Linked DNA regions of Rhinolophus ferrumequinum. The protein of the gene in region 1 interacts with the protein of each later gene in a biochemical or structural test. Links are inferred from orthologs where the notes say so. Each region holds a gene or a part of one and is shown on either strand. Other genes may lie near its edges.

What was found.
Region 2: the proteins of GNAZ (region 1) and RGS20 form a complex in vitro, tested with the Homo sapiens proteins (2 studies listed by BioGRID, with this or other methods). The link is inferred for Rhinolophus ferrumequinum from reciprocal best matches to the Homo sapiens genes GNAZ and RGS20.

What each region holds. Positions count from the first base shown.
Region 1 is NC_046308.1:21,775,740-21,783,657, forward strand, and holds the start of GNAZ (guanine nucleotide-binding protein G(z) subunit alpha), read left to right. Parts: upstream 1-4,918; 5' UTR 4,919-5,067; intron 5,068-5,782; exon of another isoform or gene 5,783-5,923; intron 5,924-7,918. UniProt on the Homo sapiens protein: Guanine nucleotide-binding proteins (G proteins) are involved as modulators or transducers in various transmembrane signaling systems.
Region 2 is NC_046297.1:24,425,172-24,441,044, reverse strand, and holds the start of RGS20 (regulator of G-protein signaling 20), read left to right. Parts: upstream 1-8,389; coding exon 8,390-8,548; intron 8,549-15,873. UniProt on the Homo sapiens protein: Inhibits signal transduction by increasing the GTPase activity of G protein alpha subunits thereby driving them into their inactive GDP-bound form.

The DNA.
Region 1 (7,918 bases):
AATTCCACCAGCACAGTTCCAGCTACAAGCAAGGTCCTGTGGGGTGACAGTAAGGGGTGAGGAGTGGGATGCAAAGACAAAAACTCTACAGTCCATGTTCTGTGGAAGCACCTATCAGTGGTCCCAAGCCACCTCTCCTGGGGGCCTGAGTCTTTCTCCCCATCAGGTCTCCCTTCCAACCAGACCACTGCCAGACACACACCTGGGCCTCCTGGGCCTGCTCTCATTCCTATGCAGGCACCTGCCGACAGGTTCCCTGCCTGCCCCAGCCATGGGTCCCTCTCAGCCAAGACCTGGTGGCCCCTCCCCAGCTCATTGTGGGGAGGAGACCATTTGACTTTCCAAGAAGGATTTTGCTGACTGATGGAATGGGAAGGTTCCTGATTGGTGACACCTGAGCAAAGGCCTGAGCGTGAGGAATTTGTGCATCATCCAATCAGGGCTTGATTGTGGCCTCACTTGCACCTGGGTCTGGCCTTCCCAAAAAAGCCCATGGAGAACCACTGCTGCTGGACCAAAGGGTCAGCACAGGCCGGGGAGACGGGAGCAATGGGGAGGGTGTCAAAATCAGAAAGTCACAGTGTTGGACGTCATCACTGCCACTGCTGCCCCCTTGATGAGGAAACCAAGGCCCAGAGAGGCAACTCAAGTGCCCAAGGCCACACAGCAGACGGGGCCAGACCAGGGCCCTCATCCTCCTGGGTTTCATTTCTCAGGCATTTGTCCTGGGGCCTCCACACCGAGAAATGCTGAGTACCAGGACCCGGGTTCTTTTTGGGACAGAAGGAGAAGATTAAAAATAAAACGCGTGCCGGGTGTGCCTCTCTGCTTGTTCACTTTGCTTCTTTTCAGCTAAAAGGAGAGTTGCAGGCCTGGCTATTTATAACTAACCCAGATCTGCAATGGCTTGTTCAAATGTGTGGGAATTGGGGTACACAGACCCCAAGGAAACAAACTGGAGAGACAAACCTGGCCCTCCCACAGCCTAACTGTCCAGCAGGGATTGGGAAACAGGACAGGGTGGGCGCAGAGCAGTCAGCCAGGAGGTAACCATCGCCAGAGGTCCATAGGCAACGAGACACCACCACCCCCACCCTTGGGAAGTGGGGAGATTAGTGGAGAGTCATCTGGGACTGGTCATTACAGCGCAGGTCGACACATGTGTAGATGAGGAATTCCAGGGCGCTAGGGGCTCTGGACATGCAGGCTGGGAGGCCTGGGGGAGCTGGGCCTCATGGGGCAGAAGGGCAAAGGCACAAGGCATGGGTGTTTGGAAAGGGTCCTGATCCGGCATGGTTGGTATGCCAGGAAGGGTTCAGTGGTTGATGAACCAGAAAGCTCCACTGGGATGGAGGATCATGATGTCCATGGCATGGACCCCCTTGTGGTTGCAGTTTGGCCACTTCCAGGGGTCGCTCTTTGGCCAGCTGTCCCTGCTGGTTTGGTGAGGTGCCAGGTGGGCTCAATCACCAGGGCCTGCTTCCTCTTTCTAGCGCAGAGCCCCAGCTGTTGTCTCTGGTCCTGTTCTACCAACCAGTGAGGACTCAGCATGGGGTACTGGCCCCAGCCCTAGGGACCACACATCCTCGCCTGGTACCCTGGGCCCACCGTGCCTCATTGTGACCCACTTATCCAGCTTTAGCCTGGTGTGGTCCCCATTCCCTGAACTCCTGGCACACAGACCCCCACCTGTGCTTTCCTTTGTTTGTTAGGACACTTCTCTGTCCTCAGCTTACTCGGCCTCACTCACAATAGCACGTGACATGGCTGAACATGTCTTCTTTTTCAAGACACTCCATTCCTGGAGCTCTGGGACTGTGGGAACAGAGCCAAGAGCAGTTTCCAGGCTCTCGGCCTCACGTGGAAAGGTGCTGGCTCAGATAGTAAATGGCCATCAACTGTGATTGGATGGCCATCAGCTGTGGCTAGTTGGCTGTCAGCTGTAACCAGTGAGCCATTGGCCACTAATATAACTGCCGTGGCTACGCTAGCAGCAAATGGGGGCTAGCAAGAAGATGGTGGCTGAGCTAGCAAGCGCGGATTGCAGTTAGCACGGCGGAGTGCAGCTAGCAAGTGGGGTTGGTTGGCAGAGAAGTGGACGGCAGGTTGCGGATAGTGTGGCTCCTGCTTCCTATGTCTCCAACCCAGCCGCCGGGGAGACTATAGTGGTATAACTCCCCTATCTATGGCTCTGTGGGTGTTCCTTTTTGACCTCACCATATCCTGCGTTCCAAAGTGGGGAGCGGGAGCTGAGACCCTGCATGACACCCTGCATGACAGGGACCCTCCCCTCCCTGGTTTCCTGGCCACCTCTCCAACTGCTTAGCAAGTGCCATCACTTCCTCCATCATCTCGTGTGGGCCCCCTTCTTGGTCACCCCCCTCTGCCAAGGCCAGCTCCTTCTCTCTATGGTTGCAGCCACCATAAAGCCATCTCCTGACACACAATTGCCTGGTGACCCCATGGCCCTACACTGACACCAACCTCATACACTGACTTCTCTGCTTTCTTATTTTCTCTGGGCTGACTAGTTGATGTTTTCATGATCTATGCCTATTTCATGCCTATTAGGACAATGCACGTGGTAGGAATACGCCTACTATACATATGAAACAAAAACTTACCTTTCTCCTTTTGGAATTTAAAAAGCTAACCTTAAAATTCTCCAGTGGTTCTTAGGCCAATGTCCCCAATCCTGCACAAGGGCCATCTGCCTGGTGTGATTGTTCCCAACTCCGCTGCAGCGTTCTGTTTTGGCATCCTCACACGCTTGCTGGCTCCAGCTACACTGGTCTTCTCTAGGTTCTCCTAGACCTCACGCTCCTTCACACCCAGTGCCTTCCTCATCTTGGAACATGCTTCTCTCCTGCCCCAACTCATCAGCCACTTCCATGCCTCTCCCGCTGTCCTAGTACCCAGGGCTCCCCCTGCCACTTACCCCCAAAGCCCTGGTGGGTCTCCTCCATCAGGCCTCACACAACCCTAAAGGCAGATTACGTTCTGCTGTCTGCTGCTGCCCCAAAGACAAGAGGGTCTAGCAGACAGGGCCAGGTCTGATTAAATCCTAGAATTGTGCCCGGCACAGAGGAGGCCGTCAGTAAATGACTGCTGGATGAAGGAGTACCATCATTGGTTGATAGCATCGGAACTTTCACTTCGAGGTGGCCATCAAGGTCAGGCGAGGGAGGCAGGAGCCAGCCCCATGAGGCCCCTGCATAGGCTAGCCTCTGATCTCACAGCGGGACTGCTGTACGAGGTCATCCCGTGCTTGCATCTAGCTTTGTCCCTGTGAGCAGCTCAACTCTGAGCCCTGATCCTGCCCTTATTCATCTTTGAATGTGTGCCGATGTGTCTCTCCCCTCAGAATCATTCTCTAGGGACAGTCAGTTGGTATCCCTTCTTAACAGAACAGGAAACTGATGCTTAGCCGGAGAAGTCACCAAAAGGCATACAGGTAATGGCAACAGAGCTGGGCCTGTGCTTCACCTTCAGCCCCCTCTTATCTCTGATCCACCTCAGGGCAAGGCCTCTGCCCGTTATCTTCCTGGTGTCACAGCCGCTGACCTCGGGGTGGTCCTGTGGGCAGAGGCCAGCCTGACCCAGCCTCTTGCTGCGGAGGACATGCACAGAGGAGCCCTCAAGGGCTAGCCACGCTCCTTTGGTCCTTATTGACCACATCCGGTGAGCCCTGGGCCAGATCTAGGTTCACCTCAGGATGCCCCTCACCACCATCTGCCCGGTCCCTGACAGTTTAGGCAAACCCTTCACAGCTGGGCCACAACCCTGCGGCTAGGTGGTGCAATGGTCTCCATTTCACAGCAGAGGGAACTTTCCCAGAGAGGATGACGTTGAAGGTGTAAAGTGATAAGGGCTGTGTTAGCTGGGAACATCTGCATTTTACCTGCGATACTCTAGGATGGCACAAAGGTTCAGGTTACCGTGACGGAGAAGGCAGAGAAGGAATTAATATCTTTTAAGCATTTAAGTGAGGGGCTCCTGGCTCTGAGGCCCACAGATGGGCTTCCCCTGAAACTGAAAGCAGAAATTTGGCAGACTGCCCTCGGGTGCATTTTGCTGAGTACTCCATGCCTTCTACTTAATCTTCCCAAAGGCACCAGTGGGACGATGGCCTTAACTGAGCTGGCTCCCTCCTGCCTTTCTGGTCTGCGGGATAAGTCCTGGGCCCTACTCCCTTCCCTCCCTTCCAGGGCAATTTTCTGTGGACAGGATTGACAGGGACCCTGAAGAGACACTACATGCTGGGTGTAGGAGAAAAGATGACTAACGCCCCTCCCATCGCTGCACAAACCTTACCAGTATAAACCTTTCGGGTTTGCATGCACAACCCTTTCACACATTCTAGCGGAACGTAGCGACAATTCAAGGAAGCAAGTGTCACTAGCCCCACGATGCAAAACAGGCCCAGAGAGGTCAGTCGGTTGCCTAAGGGCGCAGAGCTCAAAAAAGAGCCAAGCTGGGTTCGAATTCAGGCCGGGGGAGGGGAGCGGGAGCAAGGGCCATCGCCGCTCTCAGGCTTGGTCTGGGGATCTGCGGGAGGCGATCCCGCTGGGTTGGCGCCCTAGCCTGGGTAAAACCGGGTCCTGGGGATGCAGGAGCGGGTAACGCGTGCGGGACTGCGGCGCGCGCTGAGCCACGGTGCCGCCCCTGCCCGCCACCATTGGACCGTGGACGCGTCCGTCAGCCGCTCCTGCCCAATGGGCAGCTAGCCGGCGCTTGTGGCTCGGCAACGGCGCCCGGCGCGTGGTCACCGGCGGGCTCGCGGCACCCCCGCCCGCGGTTGGCTTGGCAACGCGCTGCGCTCGCGGCTCCGCCCCCTGCCGGCGGCTGCGGCGCGGGGCGGGCGGACCCGCGGGCGGACGGCGGGCGGCGCGGGAGAGCAGGCGGAGGGAGCCAGGCCGGCCGGAGCGTGTGCGCCGCCCGCGGTCCGGTCACGTCCCCGCGCGGGCGCCGCTGCCCGCGTCGTGCGGAACGAGGGCGCCGCGGTCCGCGCTTGCCGCCCCGCCCGCCCGGAGCAGCTCTGCCGATGCACCGTGCCTCGGCCTGGAGGTAAGCGAGCACGCCCGCGCCCGCAGCGTGCGGCTGAGCCTCGGGGGGTCGGGGGCGCGGCCGGGGCGTCTACCCCACCCCCACCCGGGGCCCCGCCCGGGCCTTTGTGCTGGGGATCCGCCCGGGCTGGGGGCCCCGGGGCGCAGCGACAGGGGTGCCGGCTGGGGGTGGGGTAGCGAGGGCGGGGATGCCCGCGATGTGGGCAGGAGGTGGCCACGGGTCCAGCAGGTGCTGGGGAGGGGGCGCCGCCTGGCCGAGGAGCCAGCGGGAGAGGCGGCTGCGGGCCCGGGAGGGTGAACCGCGGCGGCTGGGGATGCCGCGCAGGGGGCCCCGACCAGCCACTGATGCGGGGTCAGGCTGGGCGACCTGCAGGAACGGCGCTGAGGCGGGGTCTCCCTCCCGGGGAAGTGGGGAGGAGGCGACCCGGGCGGTGGGAGGGCTGACGCGTGGCCTTGGCTGAAACGGAGGAGAGGGCCCCGGAGGCCTGGGCCCGAGGACGGACGGCTCGCAGTTTTCGGTCATCGCTCTTGCAGTGAGCAGGTTCCTTGGAGGCATTTAGAGCAAGAGATGAGTATCGACCCACCGCGTTTGTGATATGTTCCCGTCTCAATATTTTTTACCTTAAAAGGCGGTGGGGGTGTTTGGGGGGAGGGGTGTGAGGGCCTCGGGGCTGGGGCTCGGGATCCTGCTGGAGATCTGCGGGGGCTCTGCCTTGAGGGCGGTGCGGAGCCTCTGTGGTGGTGATGGCAGGAATCTGCCTAGGCCGAGAACTGGGGTTCTCTGTTACAAGGATGAGAAGGCAGTGCCAGACCAGGGTTCCTTGGAGTCGGCGTCTCAGGATGGAGGAACCCGCCTGGTAGGCGAAGTCACACTGGCTTGGGGAGGCAGCCCAGCCCCTGACCGGCTTTTTTCTGCCCAAGTGATTTCCTTGCCCTGGGGACTGAGTCCCGCCGCCTTGGCTCTGTCTAGAGGTGGCTCCTTGGCCAAATTCGATTAAGCAAATATTTACTGAGCTTTTGCTCCCCCAGGGCCTGTGCTGGGGTAGGAGTGAACTGGGCCTGCCCTCCAGGGACTGACTCACCACCCCACAGGGGAGCAGTGTGTCTGCTCCTATGACCCAACACTGAGTGTGGGTGCCGGGTCTCGGGGGAGACCTCAGAGAGGTGTCCTGGCTGGGGTCAGGCAGGCCTGTGGGCAAAGTGACATTTGAACTGGAGCTTGAAGGACACAGGCACAGTTGGGGTGGGCATTGAGGGCAGAGTGGGGAGAATGGGCCGAGGCACAGAGAGGGTGCTGGGGCAGTTGGGTCTGGCAAGAGCACAGGGTATGCTTCGGAAGGCATAGGAGGTGTGGCAGGAATGGAGGGCGGGGGCTTCATGGAGGCCGCGGGAGCTGTGGGAAACAGAAGGACCCCGTTGCTTGTTCGCTCTGGCTGATTCAGTGGAGCCACAGTCCCCGCCTCTGTAAAAGGGAGTGGCTGTGGGATCCAGGAGCTGGAGTGGGCCTGGGGAAGAGTTTGGAGGGCCTCAGAGGGCTCCTTGCAGCCTAGGACTGCCCTTCCAAGTACCTTGTCCCTTGGGCAAGGCCACCCGGCCCCCTTCCTAGTCAGGATGGAAGATGATGTTTAGCTACTGACTGTCCCTTTGGGGCGTGGATGTCTGAGAGCAGTAACTGTGGACGCCTGGGAGTCTCCACGCAGGGTCTGATGGCGAGGGAGGGCCTGGCCACACTTGTGCTCAGACGGAGTGGTGTGCCTTCAGCGTTCCTCAGGTTCCAGGGACAAGATGCTGGCATTTGGTTTAAAACTCTTCTAGTGTGTTCCTCTAACAAATGTTGGTTTCTGAGCTAGAAGGTGAATAAGACCTAGTCCCTCCCCTTCAAAAGGCTGTGTCACTTTCTGCCTGAAATCTTGCTTGCTTCCTCTTGCTTGCTCCTGGCGATGTTTTGCTCTCCTGAAAGAGCTGTTTGTTACTCATCTGTGTTTCTTGCCCCTCCCAGCCCCACCCCTAAACACACACCCACTTTCTCATTTTTTTTGGGTGAGGCCCAGGTTGCTGCAGTGAGAGCAGGCAGCCTGCTTGCCCTCATGGGGGTGCTTCACTCCATTCTTGTGGCCCGCCCCATTCTGGGGGGCTTGCCATGGCATTTTAGGTGGGACAGAGAATGCATTCCTCCTTCTGCCCCAGCTTTTCTGTTTTCTGGAGTCTCAGGAGGCAAAGTGCCTTGGTCTGGATCTCAGGAGCTTCTAGGGCAATTCCAGGAACTCTCAGTGACCAAGTGGACTTGGCAAGGCTGCCCAGGGCCCCTGCAGAGAGGCTGGTGGGATGGAGTGCCCGAATGGCAGGGAAGGCTGGCCTCAGACACAGGGTGTGGCCTCATCGTAGCCACATGGTTGTCTTGTGTACACACGCGATAACAGTGTGCTGCGTCTTTCTTCCCTGGACATGAGGACGAGGCAGCCGTACTGCCCCCTGCTAGCTCTCAGATGACCTAAAACACTGTGTGGCTGTAGGATGTTCTTGCTGCCAACCATGGTGGGGCTTGCAGAGACTCTGGAGGAGGCAGATTAGCACACTGCTCCCCGCCAGCCCTCAGGCAGGAGACCTGGGGTGACCAAGCCCCTCAGAGGCAGGCCTGCAAGTGCCATGGTTGGCAGGAAGGAGGATGAAGGGAAAGGGACAAGCATCGGGGCAGATGCTGTATCAGCCCCAGGCAGGAGCCCAGAATGGTGGCCTGACATAGTTCGTGCAGATTGGAGAGGGGCTGGGAGGGCCCAGCTCCCCACAGGGTAGGAAGGGGCTAGAGCAGAGCTCCAGGTGAGACATCAGAAGACCTGAGTCAAGACCCCCCA
Region 2 (15,873 bases), on another chromosome or scaffold:
CATCCAATCACAGTTGATGGACATTTACTACCTGAGCCAGCACCTTTCCATGTGAGGCCAAGAGCCTGGAAACTGCACTCCTGGCTCTGTCCCCACACTACTCTTGACCCATTTGAAAATGTCACTTTTCTGATGAAATAGTTTACTTTATGGTTAAAATTCAGGGCATATTTCTCTATAAATACAGAAAGCTGGTGATCAGGTTTGCTCGGCATATCATCTCTGCACCAACCCATGCCATCTCAGCCACAGACCTGTCATGGTGTGGCAGGTTTCATCAGGTTCCATGGAGCTCTCCTCAGAGGCAAAAGGAATGGAACAAAATCAGGAATGATGCAGTTAGTAGAGAGGGGCTGCTTCACAGCTCACCTGGGATGGCTTTTTCTAAGCATCATGGCATTATCAGCTATTTTCTGGCATTAGGGAGAAGAGGCAGATGTACCCTGGTGACATCTCCCTTACATTATTTGTTCAACACATCTATTGGTGATCACAACTAGTTTAATTATATGTTATAGTGTATGTAAGATATCCTTTGAGCTGCTTTGTAATTTCCTAGTAATTGAGCTCCAGAGTTGTTATTTAGAAATGACATAAGGGAAATAAGATAAAACTGTACTGACAGGAGAAAAATAACAGTAATAATGAATGTATTCACCAAAATTAGTTAATATCTCATATCCTTAACAATTTTTTACTAGAATAGAATCATATTATATGTTTGGAGAAGATATACCCCTTGGAAATGATCAGAGGGTAGAAAGATTATGAAATTTTAAGGAATTTCTTTAGTCTAAAATATATGGAAAGTTACAAACATCATCATTTCTAATCTTTCCTTTCTAAATGTGGATTGAACTTCCACATGCCCATAGAAATAGAGGAGTTTTAGTCAAAGGAAATTGTGGGGACAGAGCCAGGAGTGCAGTTTCCAGGCTCTCGCCCTCACGCGGAAAGGTGCTCACTCGAGTAGTAAATGTCCATCAACTGTGATTGGATGACCATCAGCTGTGGCTAGTTGGCCATCAGCTGTAACCAGTGAGCCATTGGCCACTAATATAACTGTTGTGGCTATGCTAGCAACAAATGGGGGCTAGCAAGAAGATGGTGGCTGGCAAGCGCAGATTGCAGTTAGCTCAGCGGATTGCAGTTAGCAAGGGGTTAGTTGGTTGGCAGAGAAGCGGACGGCGGGTTGCGGATCATGTGGCTTCTGCTTTCTGTGTTTCCAACCCAGCCACCAGCGAGACTATAGTGGTATGACTCCCCTATCAACGTGTCATGCAGGATTTCATGCAGGGTCTCAGCTCCTGCTCCCCACATAAGAACATAGGATATGGTGAGGCCAAAAAGGAACACCCACAGAGCCACAGATAGGGGAGTCAGACCACTAGTCTCGCTGGCGGCTGGGTTGGAGACACAGAAAGCAGGAGCCACACTATCCGCAACCTGCCATCTGCTTTTCTGCCAACCAACCAACCCCACTTGCTAGCTGCAATCCGCTCTTGCTAGCTCAGCCACCATTTCCTTGCTAGGTCCCATTTTCTGCTAGCATAGCCACGACAGTTATATTAGTGGCCAATGGCTCACTGGTTACAGGTGACAGTCAACTAGCCACAGCTGATGGCCATCCAATCACAGTTGATGGCCATTTACTACCTGAGCCAGCACCTTTCCATGTGAGGCCAAGAGCCTGGAAACTGCACTCCTGGCTTTGTCCCCACACTATGGCTCCGTGGACGTTCCTTTTTGGCCTCACCATGTTCGTATGCGGGGAGCAGGACCAGAGACCCCTCCTGTCACCCTGCATGACAGAAATCCTGTTCTAAAAGATAATTTATCATGAAAATCTTACTATCTCCTAGTGAAGATTATGTTTCCAGCCTGCCTTCAATTGAACAAGGACTTTGAGAAATTTTTGCACCTTGCTGAATAAATCATTAGTGTAAGAATAGTTCTTCCATTCTTTTTCATACAATAGGCATTTGCAAGAAGCTGACTTACTTTGGCCCAGCAGTAACTGAGTATTGACACCATGACCCCTTTGCAAAATACCCTAACCAACTACCCTAGCAGCCTCTGATTGCATTGGTATTGCCAAAGCAGGTCTAATTGATCACACAAGATTTTGCTTATGCACTGTATCAGTGCCCCAAATTCTTATGGCAACCAAGCTTCAAGATTTTCCAGGTAGGTTAATTTTATTATACTGCAACATTGACCTCAGAAGGACAATCTCTGCAATTTTAAATTTAAAAAATATGGTCATTGTGGTAGGCAGCTTCTAAAATCACTGTTAATGATCCCCACCTCGAAATGATTCATATGATGCATACCCTTCTGTAATTCATTCTCCTTGTGTGTGGGTTATACCTACTTTTTTTCTAAAGAATAGCGTGCAGCAAAAGTAAGGGATGTCACTTCCAAGATCAGATTATGGAAGACTGTGACTTCTGTCTTGCTTGCATTCTCTCAAGTTCTTCTCACTTATTTACTCTGGTGAATCAAGCTGCCAAGTTGTGAGCTGCCCCATGGAGAGGCCATGTAACAGGAGACGAAGGCAGCCTCCAGTGAACAATCAGCAAAGAATTGATGCCCTTAGCCCACTAGCCTTTGAGGAACTAAATCCTATTAACTCTGGAGTAAGCCTTGAAGTGGATCCTTCCCCATTGGAGACTTGAGAAGACTGCAGCCCTAGCTGACACCTTGATTGCAGCCTCACGAGAGACACTGAACCAGGGGTTGTAGACACTGGTACATTGCGGCTGATTACTATTTCTGTCAGAGGATAAATGTTATCTTAATCCACTAAGTTTTGGGGTACTTGTCATGCAGCAATAGGTAACTAATGCAGTTACCAAAATAAAATAATATCTAGCATTTAGCAAGAGTTTATTATGTGCTGGGCACTACAATAAGCCCTGTATATACGCTGCAAGTGAAAGGAAACAGATAAAGCTAGCTTAAGCAATAGTAATAATATTCTCAAAATAATATTTTTTTATTTTTAAGGAAGTTATTGGATCATGTAAATGAAAAGTGTAAGAGTAGATATTCAGGTATATTGAGTGACTTGCTCAAATGATGTGAGGAATCTATTTTTCTCTCTGCATGACTTTCTACTCTGGTTCTCAATGAACTGATTTTATTATTAGGCAAGCTCTATATCCAAGTATTGGCAAAGATATATACACCAATGGCACCAGACTTATATTCTGCTAATTAGTAACCATGGAAAACAAGCACTGCTTTTCTAATTGTTTAGCAGAAGTCCTAGGGCTGACTCTCATTGGGCAGGTCACATGCTTGACCTTGAATAGTCACTGTGGGCAGAGGGATGGAATGCACTAATTGACCAGGTCTGGGTTGTATTGACAGACATGGAGCTGGATGCAGAGTCAGCTATATCCAAATAACACGGCCTGAGAATGGGATAGATGTATTTCCCCAAAGAAAACCAGAGTGCTACTATTAGAAAAAGAGTACATAAATGGTGGGGGGCGGGAAGTCCACTACATTCTTGACAGACCAGCATACACACACACACACACACACACACACACACACACACAGAGGCATACCTCCCTTTTTTTCCATATATACACTTTCAGAAATGCTCCCACTTAACATATCCCACATGAGATTTAAGATGTACTCACTCATTCTAAAAAAAGACAACCCAGAATCTTTTCTACTTACTGCATCTGGATGAAAGTCAAGGATCGTTTGGTGACTTGCAGTCTTTTTGGTCTGGTGTATGTGTGGGTCCTTAAGGCTGTCAATCCATGGTTAAGTGATGCTTCTACACCACTTTCGATACACAGTGATGGAGGAAAACAAGGTAACTGGATTCATGATATACAGCAAAGACAGGCTATTCTATCAATAAAGCAAATGACTTGATCCACAGTCTGAGCTATGACTAATTGTGCAGTCTGAAACCCTCCCTAGTCTTGGTCTTCCATAACTGTCTGAGATGAGCCTCTGTAAGGATTTTCCTCTCTGGATCTGCATATCTTCAGTTTCCTTTACCTAAGGAAAGAGTGTTGGGTGGGCTTTGCCAGGCTTAGGGTTCTCTGATAGTTCAACTCCGTTAATACTTTACTCAATTGGTTTTCAATCCATTTGTTTTCCATCACTGTTATGAGTTAGTAACAAAGTCAGAGTTTTATTAATTGTCCATTAACCTTCCTCCTCTCATCACACTCTGAGATGTTTGTGCTTCTTAGACACAATTCTCCCAGCTCTGCCTGTTAGTTACACTGACACTTTAAGAAATGTCCTTTAACTTAGGATAATGTAGAATAAATATATGTATTTGTCAACAAGTATTTTACTCAACTTTCAATAAATTGTAAAATTCTTTTCTCATGCAAACTCCTCTTACTGCAATTTCCAGGAAACTTTTTCGGCACAGAATGCCAGGAAAGGCCAGTCAATGGTATTGTGCCATTATATGCATACACACACACCTCAAATATGAAAAAATATGTTTACTAGAATCTAACAAACACTGAGTATGCAACATTTTATTAAAGCAAATTAAAGATGAAAGAATTTTCATAGAAATAGTTGCTGAGTAGAAAGAAGTTTCCAAAATAGAGAATCATTACAAGTATGAGGAAAGTGCTAGAGATAACAAATATCCAAATAAAATGTTTCTTCCAAGGTTTAACCCCAGAATAGATGTGCAAAAGTGAAAGTGGGAGCAAGAGGAAAAAAATTCTGGTGGACCTGTGATATTCTTAAAGAAAAAGAGAAATACAAACAATTTGGTTTGCAGAGTGGCACAGAACACTGTGCTCTGTCCCTAGTGTATGGAGATGTGGAGGCTGGTCCCAGCTACAGTATTATATGTAGTCCTTGGACATATCACCTAATATCTCATGTAAGTTCCCCATCCACAAAATGAAGAAGACAAAATGGGCAGGAGGACAAGATGATCTTGATAGTCCTTTCCAGCTCCAAAGATTGCACATGTCAATTTGAGACTATTAATACCACCTGTTCTGTTTTCATTCTAAGAGTCCAGAAACAAATACCAGGTTTCTAGACCCTCAGACCAGTGATAGTTCAACCATATCTTCACTTAAGTGTCCCTGAGAAACATTTTTTTTAACTGTTAAGATATTTCTTGCCCCTACTCTGAAACATTTGGGCACTTGAGAAAGTTTCCTATCTTTTTTAAATAAAAACTTTAGCAGCATTATTGAGATATAATTCACATATTATATGATGCACCCATTTAACATGTACTGTTTATTGATTTTTAGCATATTCACAGGGTTGTGCAACCCTCATTGCAATCAGTTTTATAACATTTTTATCACCCCAAAAAGAAACCTCTTACTCATTAGTCGTCACTCTCCATCTCTCCCCAAACCCTCCTGCCCTAGGCAACCACTAATTTACTTCCTGTATCTAAAGATTTGCCTATCCTGGGCATTTTCTTATAAGTAGAATCATACATGTGATCTTTTGTGACAGGTTTCTCTCACCCAGCACAATGTTTTCAAATTTCATCCATGTTGTAGCATGTTGTAGCACTTCATTCCTTTTTATTGCAGAATAACATTCCATTGTATGGATACACCTCATTTTGTCTATTCATCAGTCGATGGGAAAGTGGGTTTTTTCCAGTTATTGGACATTTGTGTATAAGTCTTTGTGTGAACATATATTTCACTTCATTTGTTTCAGTAGATATCTAGGAGGGAATTGCTTGATCATAAGGTAGCTCTATGGTGAACATTTTGAAGAAGTGCCAAACTGTTTTCCAAACTGATTACAACATTTTATATTCTCATAAACAATGTATGAGAGTTCCAATTTCTCCACATACTCACTAACAGTTGTTATTGTCTTTTTGATTAGAGCCAACTTATTGGATGTGAAATGGTATCTCACTGTGATTTTCATTTGCCTTTCCCTAATGACTAATGATGTTGAGCATCTTTTCATGTGCTTATTGGTGATTTGTATATCTTCTTTGGAAAAAAGCCTGTTTAGATACAACACCCATTTTCACTTGTTTGGGGGTTTTTGTTGTTGTTAGTTGTGAGAGCATTTGAATATTCTAGATGCAAGTTTCTTATTACACAGCTACGACTTTCAATACTTTCTTCTATTTTGTGGGTTTATATTTACTTACTTGATGATGTCCTTTAAAGAACAAAATTTTTTAATTTTGGTGAAGTTCCACTTGCCTATTTTTTTCTTTTATCACTTGTGCTTTTTGTGTTGTATCTAAGAAAGCTTTGCCTAATCCAACGTTACAAAGATTTATCCCTATGTTATCTTCAAAGAGTATAATAGTTTCAGCTTTTACATTTAAGTCTATGATTAATTATGAGTTAATTTTTTTATGTGATTTGAGGTAGAGGTTCGACTTAATTTTTATGCCTACGACTATCTAGTTGTTCCTGCATCATTTCTTGAAAAAACAGTTCTTTCCCCATTGAATTGTTTTTGCACCTTTTTGAAAATCAACTGACCATAAATGTATGAGTTTGTTCCTGGACTCTCAATTCTATTTCATTGATCTATGTATCTATTCTTATGCCAGAACCATAGTCTTAATTACTGTAGCTTTGTATTAAGTTTTAAAATTGAAGGTGTGAATCCTCCAAATTTGTTTTTCTTTTTTGGGATTGTTTTGGATATTCTGTGTCCCTTATAATCTCAAATTTTAGAATCAACTTGTCAATTTTTGGAAAAAAGGGAGCTGGATGTTGATAGAGATTGTTTGTTTTACAGATCAATTTTGAGCTCCTGGGATCATTTTACAAAAGGAAATTTCTCCAGTTCATAGTCCCCAGTAATACACACCTGAGGCCCTTACCTCTGTGCCCCCAGACCCAGCAGAGACAACTCAGACATTAGATAACTTCTTTAAAGAAAGGTATTATGTTCTACCTTTTTGTACTCACTTTGTTTAAAATCTTATTTTTATAAAGTACTTTATAAATATAAAGTATTTATAAATATGAAATATTTATAAAGTACTTTATAAATATAAAGTATTTATAAATATGAAATATTTATAAAGTATGAAGCCAAATTCTTGGCTTAATCATTAGATGACTAGCTGCCTCATAAGAAAATCATTTTAACTAATTCTACATGACATAAATATAAAGAGTGATAATCCTTAACCTTGAGTTTGCATATGAGTTTAGCATACATTTCTATCCACAAAGCTGACTGCTGCTACTAAAATGATATTTTAAAAAACCTAAATATATTAGGTGAACCATTTGCCTTTCAATTGCAAAGCACAGGACTGTCAAGTAATCCATTTTCATTTTTTTAAATTAGTTTATTGGGGTGACAATGGTTAGTGTGGAGACAGAGCCCCAGAGAGTACTTTCCAGGCTCTCGGCTTCACATAGAAAGGTGCTGGCTCAGGTAGTAGATGGTCATCAGGTGTGACTATTTGGTCATCAGCTGTTACTGGTTAGCCATTAGCCACTGATATAACTGCCATGGCTAAGCTGGCAAGTGGTGGAGTGTGGATTTCGGATCATGTGGCTCCTGCTTTCTGTGTCTCCAACCCAGCCACCAGTGAGACTATAGTGGTATGACTCCCCTATCTATGGCTCCATGGGTGTTCCTTTTTGGCCTCACCAAGTCCTACGTTCTTATATGGGGAGCGGAACCAGAGATCCCGCATGACACCCTGCATGACAGTTAGTAAAGTTACATAGGTTTCAGGTGTATAATTCTGTAATACATCATCTATATATCACATTGTGTGTTCAGCACCCAGAGTCAGTTCTCCTTCCATCACCATATATTTGATCCCTTTTACCCTCATTTATTACCGCCCTTCCCCCTTACCCTCTGGTAACCACTAAACTATTGTCTGTGTCTATGAGTTTTTGTTTCTTCCTTTGTTTGTCTTGTTCTTTTGTTGTTTTCAGGTTTATATACCACATATCCGTGAAATCATACAGTCCTCAACTTTTTCTGTCTGACTTATTTCACTTAGCATAATAATCTCAAAATCCACCCATGTTGTCACAAATGGCACTATTTCATATTTATCAGTATATATTAAGTAACATATTGCTTGAATCATTTTTTTCAGTTTTGATTTAGGATTAAATTTTAATTAGGAATACATTGCTACCTGTAGAGGGCAGTCATAACATAAGTAGGCATTCAAAATAAGAGGCTCCACCTGGAACAGAACATTAAAGATCTGTGGATAAGCTGCTGATCCACAAAACAGATAATCCTTTTGCTTTGATTAGTGTCACTTTCCAGGGAGCCCCCCAGCAGACTGAGAGATGGCTCAGCATCAGCCAAAAGAAAAGAAATAGGGTGGACTCTGGACTGGTGTTGTTAAAATCAGGCTACAGAATTCATTTGGAGCCTTTATTGTAAAAACATGCCCAGGCTTTCCCAAGACAACCAAGAATGCATTCAGAAATATTTCTCCAGGCCATCCATGTGGAAGCAATTTCTGCCCCTGCCTAGGGCTGAAGGATATAATGCAAATATTCACCAAACCGCAGAAAACGAAGAGGGCACCAAGGCTGTGTATGACGTCAAGGTAAAACAATTTCCACAATCCATGATCCTTTCTTGACAAAGAAAGGGTTTATCCAGAAAGAATATAAAACCATAAAAAAGCTTCAGCGTCATTGCTCACTCACTTCATCTTACTGACAATATATCAAAATTGTTTTCAAACCAACTGTCATGCAGGGCATCGTCAGGCAGGGTCTCTAGTTCCGCTCCCTGCATAAGAATGCAGGATATTGGTGAGGCCAAAAAGGAACACCCACAGAGCCATAGATATGGGAGTCATACCACTATAGTTTCACTGGCGGCTGGGTTGGAGGCACAGGAAGCAGGAGCCACACCATTCGAAACCCGCTGTCCACTTGTCTCTGCCCAATGACACACCTCACTTGATAACTGCAGTCCGCCTCTCTGCAATCCTCAATCCACACTCCACCCTTGCCAGCCACTATTTTCTGCTAGCATAGCCTCGGCAGTTATATTAGTGGCCAATGGCTCACTGGTTACAGCTGACGGCCAACTAGCCACAGCTGATCGCCATCCAATCACAGTTGATAGCCTGGAATTACTGCACTACTCGAATGAGCACCTTTCCACATGAGGCCGAGAGCCTGGAAACTGCTCTCTGGGACTCTGTCCCCACACCAACCCCAAGAGAAAAACTAGAACCTTGATGATAATTACCTGATCTGTCCAGTTTTCTCATCTAAACAGCTCCCATTTACCAAGACAAATTATTCTTTATTTATTTTTGTTTGTTTGTTTCAGGAGGTAATGTTTTAAAAAGCAGAAAACCTAGACAAATTTTTGTGGTTATTGCTATTAAACCCTGAATGTTTTTCTCTGATATAAAGATTACACCCCATATAGTAATGAAAGAAAAATTATAGACTGCTTTCAACAAAAAATGGAAGTAAGAAAAATTGATATACAAATACAGGGTCATAAGAACATTAAGGAGCGAAGGGGTGTTTTTCTTTTCTTTTTTTTTATATACATATATATATTTTTTAATTTATTTTTTTAATTTATTGGGGTGACAATTGCCAGCGAAATTACATAGATTTCAGGTGTACAATTCTGTATGACATCATCTATAAATTACATTGTGTGTTCACCACCCAGAGTCAGTTCTCCTTCTATCACCATATATTTGATCCTCCTTACCCTCATCTCCCACCCTCCACCCCCCTTACCCTCTGGTAACCACTAAACTGTTGTCTGTGTCTATGAGTTTTTTTTTGTTTTTTAGTTTTTCTTAGATGTTTATCATATCCCTCACACTGTGGACCCCCCCTCCCCCATCCACTATCTCTCTGACATCGCACCGAGCCATCCCATTTCCACTATCTCCACTCCCAATGCTGTACTCTGCCTCTTGTAAATGTTTACATACCTATATATACATATATATATACACACACATATATATATATAATATTATAGTTGGCATTCATTATTGTTCAGCTTCAGGTGTACAGTGCAGTGATCAGGCATCTACATCTTCTCTGAGATGGTCTCCCAAATGGGACACATGTCTATCGGATACCCTACAAAATCTTTACAACATTATTGATTACGTTCCCCAGATTAATTTCAAAACCCCGTGACCATCTTGTGGTTACTGACTGTTTTCTAATCCCCTCACCTTCCCCTTTACCCACACCACCCCACCCATCTAGCAACCCTCAGTTTTTCCTCTTTGTCTCCAAAACTGTTTCTGATTAGTTCATTCACTTATTCTTTTCTTTAGATTCCACGTATAAGTGAGATCATATGGTACTTATCTTTCTCTGTCTGACTTATTTCACTTAACATATGTTCTCTAGGTCCATCCATGTTGTTGCAAATGGTAAGATTTCTTTCTTCTTTATGGCTGCGTAGTACTCCATTGTATAAATGTACCACAGTTTCTTAATCCAGTCATCTGTCGATGGGCATTTTGGTTGTTTCCATGTCTTGGCTATTGTGTATAGTGCTGCAATAAACATAGGAGTGCATAAAGATTTTTGAATTGGAGTTTTGGATATCTCCGGATAGATACCTAGGAGTGGAAGTACTGCATCATAGGGTAGTTCCATTTTCAGATTTTTGAGATACCTCCATACTGTTTTCCATACTGGCTGCACCAATCTGCAATCCCACCAAGAGTGCACAAGCGTTCCCTTTTCTCCACATCCGTGCCAGCACTTGTTGTTTGTTGATTTATTGATGATAGCCATTTTGACTGGGGTGAGGTGGTATCTCATTGTGATTTTTATTTCATTTCTCTGATGGGTAGTGAGGTTGAGCAATTCTTCATATGTCTGTTTGCCATTTGTATGTCCTTTTTAGAAAAGTGTCTCTTCAAGTCCTCTGCCCATTTTTTAATTGGGTTGTTTGTTTTTTTGGAGTTGAGTTGAGTGAGTTTTTTATAGATTTGTGATATTAATCCCTTGTTAGATATATCATTGGCAAATATCTTTTCCCATTCAGTAGGATCCCTTTTTGTTTTATTGATGGTTTCCTTTGCTGTGAAAAAACTTTTTAGTTTGATATAATCCCACATGTTTATTTTTTCTTTTACTTCCCTCGAGCGAGGGGATATATCAGTAAAAATCTTACTCCGGGTAATGTCTGTGAAGTTTCTTCCTATATTTTCTTCTAGGTATTTTATGGTTTCAGATCTTACATTTAAGTCTTTAAGCCATTTTGAATTTATTTTTGTATATGGTGTAAGGAGGTGGTCCATGTGTTATTTGCATGTGTCTGTCCAGGTTTCCCAGCACAATTTATTGAATATACTGTCTTTACTCCATCGTACATTCTTGCTTCCATTGTCGTAGATTAAATGGCCATATAGGCGTGGATTTATTTCTGAACTCTCTATTCTGTTCCATTGATCTATGTGTCTGTTTTTATGCCAGTACCACGCTGTTTTGATTACTGTAGCCTTGTAGTATAATTTGAAGTCAGGTATTGTTATACCTCCCACTTTGTTCTTATTTCTCAAGATTGCCTTTGCTATTCGGGGTCTTTTATGGTCCCATATAAATTTTAGGATTATATGTTCTATTTCTGTGAAAAACGACGTTGGCAGTTTGATAGGAATTGCATTGAATATGTATATTGCCTTAGGCAGTATGGACATTTTAACTATATTAATTCTTCCTATCCATGAACATGATATGTGTTTCCATCTATTTATATCTTCTTTCATTCCTTTCTTCAGTGTCTTATAATTTTCTGAGTACAGATCTTTTACTTCTTTGGTTAAATTTATTCCCAGGTATTTTATAGTCTTTGGAGCGATTGTAAATGGGATTGTTTTTTTAATTTCTCCTTCTGATGTTTTATTATTGGTATATACAAATGCAACTGATTTCTGAATATTAATTTTGTATCCTGCTACTTTACTAAATTCATCTATCAGCTCTAATAGCTTCTTGGTGGAGTCTTTAGGGTTCTCTATATATAGTATCATATCATCTGCATATAATGATAATTTTACTTCCTCCTTACCAATTTGGATGCCCTTTATTTCTTTTTCTTGTCTGATTGCTGTGGCTAGAACTTCCAGCACTATGTTGAATAGAAGCGGAGATAGTGGGCAACCTTGCCTTGTTCCTTATCTTAGGGGGAATGGTTTGAGCTTTTCCCCATTGAGTATGATGTTAGCTGTGGGTTTGTCATATATGGCCTTTATTATGTTGAGATATGATCCCTCTATTCCCTCTTTCTTAAGTGTTTTTATCATAAATGGCTGTTGGATTTTATCAAATGCTTTTTCTGCATCTATTGATATGATCATGTGATTTTTATTTTTCATTTTGTTAATGTGGTGTATCACATTAATTGATTTGCGGATGTTGAAACACCCTTGCATACCAGGGATGAATCCCACTTGATCATGGTGTATGATCTTTTTAATGTATTGCTGAATTCTGTTCGCTAATATTTTGTTGAGGATTTTTGCATCTATGTTCATTAGAGATATCGGCCTGTAGTTTTCTTTTTTTGTGGTGTCTTTGTCTGATTTTGGGATCAGTGTGATAGTGGATTCGTAAAAAGTGTTTGGGAGTCTTCCGTCCTCCTGGATTTTTTGGAAGAGCTTGAGGAGAATCGGTGATAATTCTTTTTTGAACGTTTTGTAAAATTCAACTGTAAAGCCATCTGGTCCAGGGCTTTCGTTTGTTGGGAGATTGTTGATTACTGATTCAATTTCCGTGGTGGTAATCAGTGTATTCAGGTTTTCTGTTTCTTCTTGAGTTAGCCTTGGAAGGTTGTACGCCTCTAGAAAATTGTCCATTTCTTCCAGATTGTCAAATTTGTTGGCATATAGTTGCTCATAGTAACTTCTTAAAACTTTTTGTATTTCTGCGGTGTCTGTTGTCACTTCTCCTCTTTCATTTCTGATTTTATTAATTTGGGTCCTCTCTCTCTTTTTTTCAATGAGTCTGGCTAAAGGTTTGTCAATTTTGTTTATCTTCTCTAAGAACCAACTCTTGGATTCATTGATCTTTTGTATAGTTTTTCTGGTTTCTATTTCATTTATTTCTGCTCTGATCTTTATTATCTCCTTCCTTGTGCTCCCTTTGGGCTTATTTTGCTGTTCTTTTTCCAGATCCCTTAAGTGTGAAGATAAACTGTTGATTAGTGATGTTTCTTTTTTTTTAGGTAGGCCTGCAAAGCTATGAATTTCCCTCTTAGGACTGCTTTCGCGGCATCCCATAGATTTTGGGTCGTCGTGTTTTCATTTTTGTTTGTCTCGAGATATCTTTTGATTTCTTCCTTGATTTCCTGCTTGACCCATTCATTATTTAGTAATAAGTTATTCAGCCTCCAGGAATTGGTGTGTCTTCCAGTTTTTTTCCTGTAGTTCATTTCTAATTTCATAGCACTGTGATCAGAGAAGACAATTGGTATGATTTCAATTTTCTTAAATTTATCAAGACTTGTTTTGTGGCCTAACATATGGTCTATCTTAGAAGATGGTCCATGTGCGCTTGAGAAAAACGTGTATTTTGCAGCATTGGGGTGAAATGCTCTGAAAATATCGAATAAATCCAAGTGGTGCAATGTATCATTTAAGGCTGTTGTTTCCATATTGATTTTCTGTCTGGAAGACCTGTCCCTTGTTGTCAGAGGTGTGTTGAAGTCCCCTACTATGATAGTGTTACTGTTGATCTCTGTCTTTATGTCAGTCAGTACCTGTTTTATATATTTAGGTGCTCCTATGTTGGGTGCATAGATATTTACTAGAGTTATGTCCTCTTGTCGGATCTATCCCTTTATTATTATATAGTGCCCATCTTTATCTTTTAATATGTTCATTTTAAAGTCTATTTTGTCAGATATAAATATTGCAACTCCAGCTTTTTTCTCGTTTCCATTTACATGAAATATCTTACTCCAACCCTTCACTTTCAGCCTGTGTGTGTCTTTTGTTCTGAGGTGAGTCTCTTGTATACAGCATATACAAGGGTCTTGCTTTCTTATCCAGTCAGCCACCCTATGTCTCTTGATTGGAACATTTAATCCATTTACATTTAAAGTGATTATTGATAGGTACATAGTTATTGCCATTTTTAAATTTGTAGTTAGATTGTTTTGATCTTTCTTCTATTTAGAGAAGTCCTTTTAGTATTTCTTGCAATGCTTGCTTGGTGGTAATAAATTCCTTTAGCTTATTTTTTTCTGGAAAGCTCTTTATCTCTCCATCAACTTTAAATGATAGCCTTGCTGGATAAAGCAATCTAGGTTGTAGGCCTTTGTTTTCCATCGCTTTGTGTATCTCCTGCCACTCCCTCCTGGCCTTCAATGTTTCTCTAGAAAAGTCATTTGATAGTCTTATAGGAGTTCCCTTGTATGTAACCCTTGTCTTTCTCTTGCTGCTTTTAGGATTCTCTCTTTGTCTTTAAGCTTTGCCATTTTAACTATAATGTATCTTGGTGTGGACCTGTTTGGGTTTATCCCAAACAGAGAGTTGGAACTCTCTGCAATTCCTGGGCTTGTATGTTGGTTTCCTTCATCAGGTTGGGGAAGTTTTTGGACATTATTATTTCAAATATGTTCTCAATCCCTTGCTTCCTCTCTTCACCTTCTGGTATTCCTATGATGCGCATGTTGTTGCACTAGATGTTATCTCAGAGGTCTCTTAAGCCATTCTCATTGTCTTTTATTCTTTTATCTTTCTGTTGTTCCGTTTGGGTGATCTCTGCTACCTTGTCTTCTAAGTCGCTGATTCGATCCTCTGCTTCATCTAACCTGCTGGTAATTCCTTCAAGTGAGCTCTTAATTTCGGTAATTGTGTTCTTTAGTTCTAACTGGTTGTTCGTTATGATTTCTACATCCTTCTTTATGTCTTCTCTAAGCTCCTTAAACATTCTTATCACCAGTGTTCTGAACTCTGTCTCTGAAAGGTTGGTTACCTCTGCTTCATTTGGTTCCAGTTGTGGAGGTTTCTTCTATTCTTTTATTTGGGACGTGTATCTTTGTTTCCCCATTTTGGCTGACTCTCTGTGTTTGTTTCGATGTATTAGGTAGATCCCCTAGAGTTCTTATTTCTTGCTAGGTTATCTTATGTAGTATGTGTCCTTTATATTTGACTTGCACTACTTCGTTCTTCTCCTCTGCGTGTGCTCCAAAGGTGACTCTTGTGTTGTGTATATTGTCCTGTTCAAGAAGATCTTTAATTGCTTTTTGCTTGTGAGTAGGTGGGGTTAACTCCTAGGCTGACTCATTGTGAGACTTGGCTCTGCCCACCGCAGGGCTTTCTGCTGCATGAGGGTTGACCACTTACATGTGGTTTGGCCTCTATGGGCTCTAGTGCCTGCAGAGAATTCTCTCTGGGTGTGTGACTTGTAGGTCAAACCCGGTAGTACTCTGGTTTGGTCTGGAGTTGGCCTCTGGATATGTTGAATTTTGTGCCTCTTAAGCTGGGCCCTGGTAGGGCAGTTTCAGAACAAAGCAAATCACCAAGCACAACAAGAACAACAAAGCAACAAATCAAATACATTCACATGTAAAAACACCCGATAACCCCCACTCGACACAGGCAAAGATATCAACGATATAAAGTCAAAGCAAAACAAAACAAAACAAAGCAAAACAAAAAGCAGCGCCAGTCTTGGCTTAAGCCCACCAAGTAATGTCCAGGTTGTCCTCTGCTGTACCAAAGAGCCCCCTGCTTATTGCGCAGGCAGAGCCGGTCACCTTGTGCCCAGAGTCACTTTGGGACTGTAGATTTAAATGCGTGGGCCTGAGGGGTCTGGATGATAGTTTTTACAAAGTCAGTGCAGCTTCTGCCCTTGCCTGCACATATGCACACTGAGAGTAGCACCACCAGCCCCGTGTCCAGTACTCCTG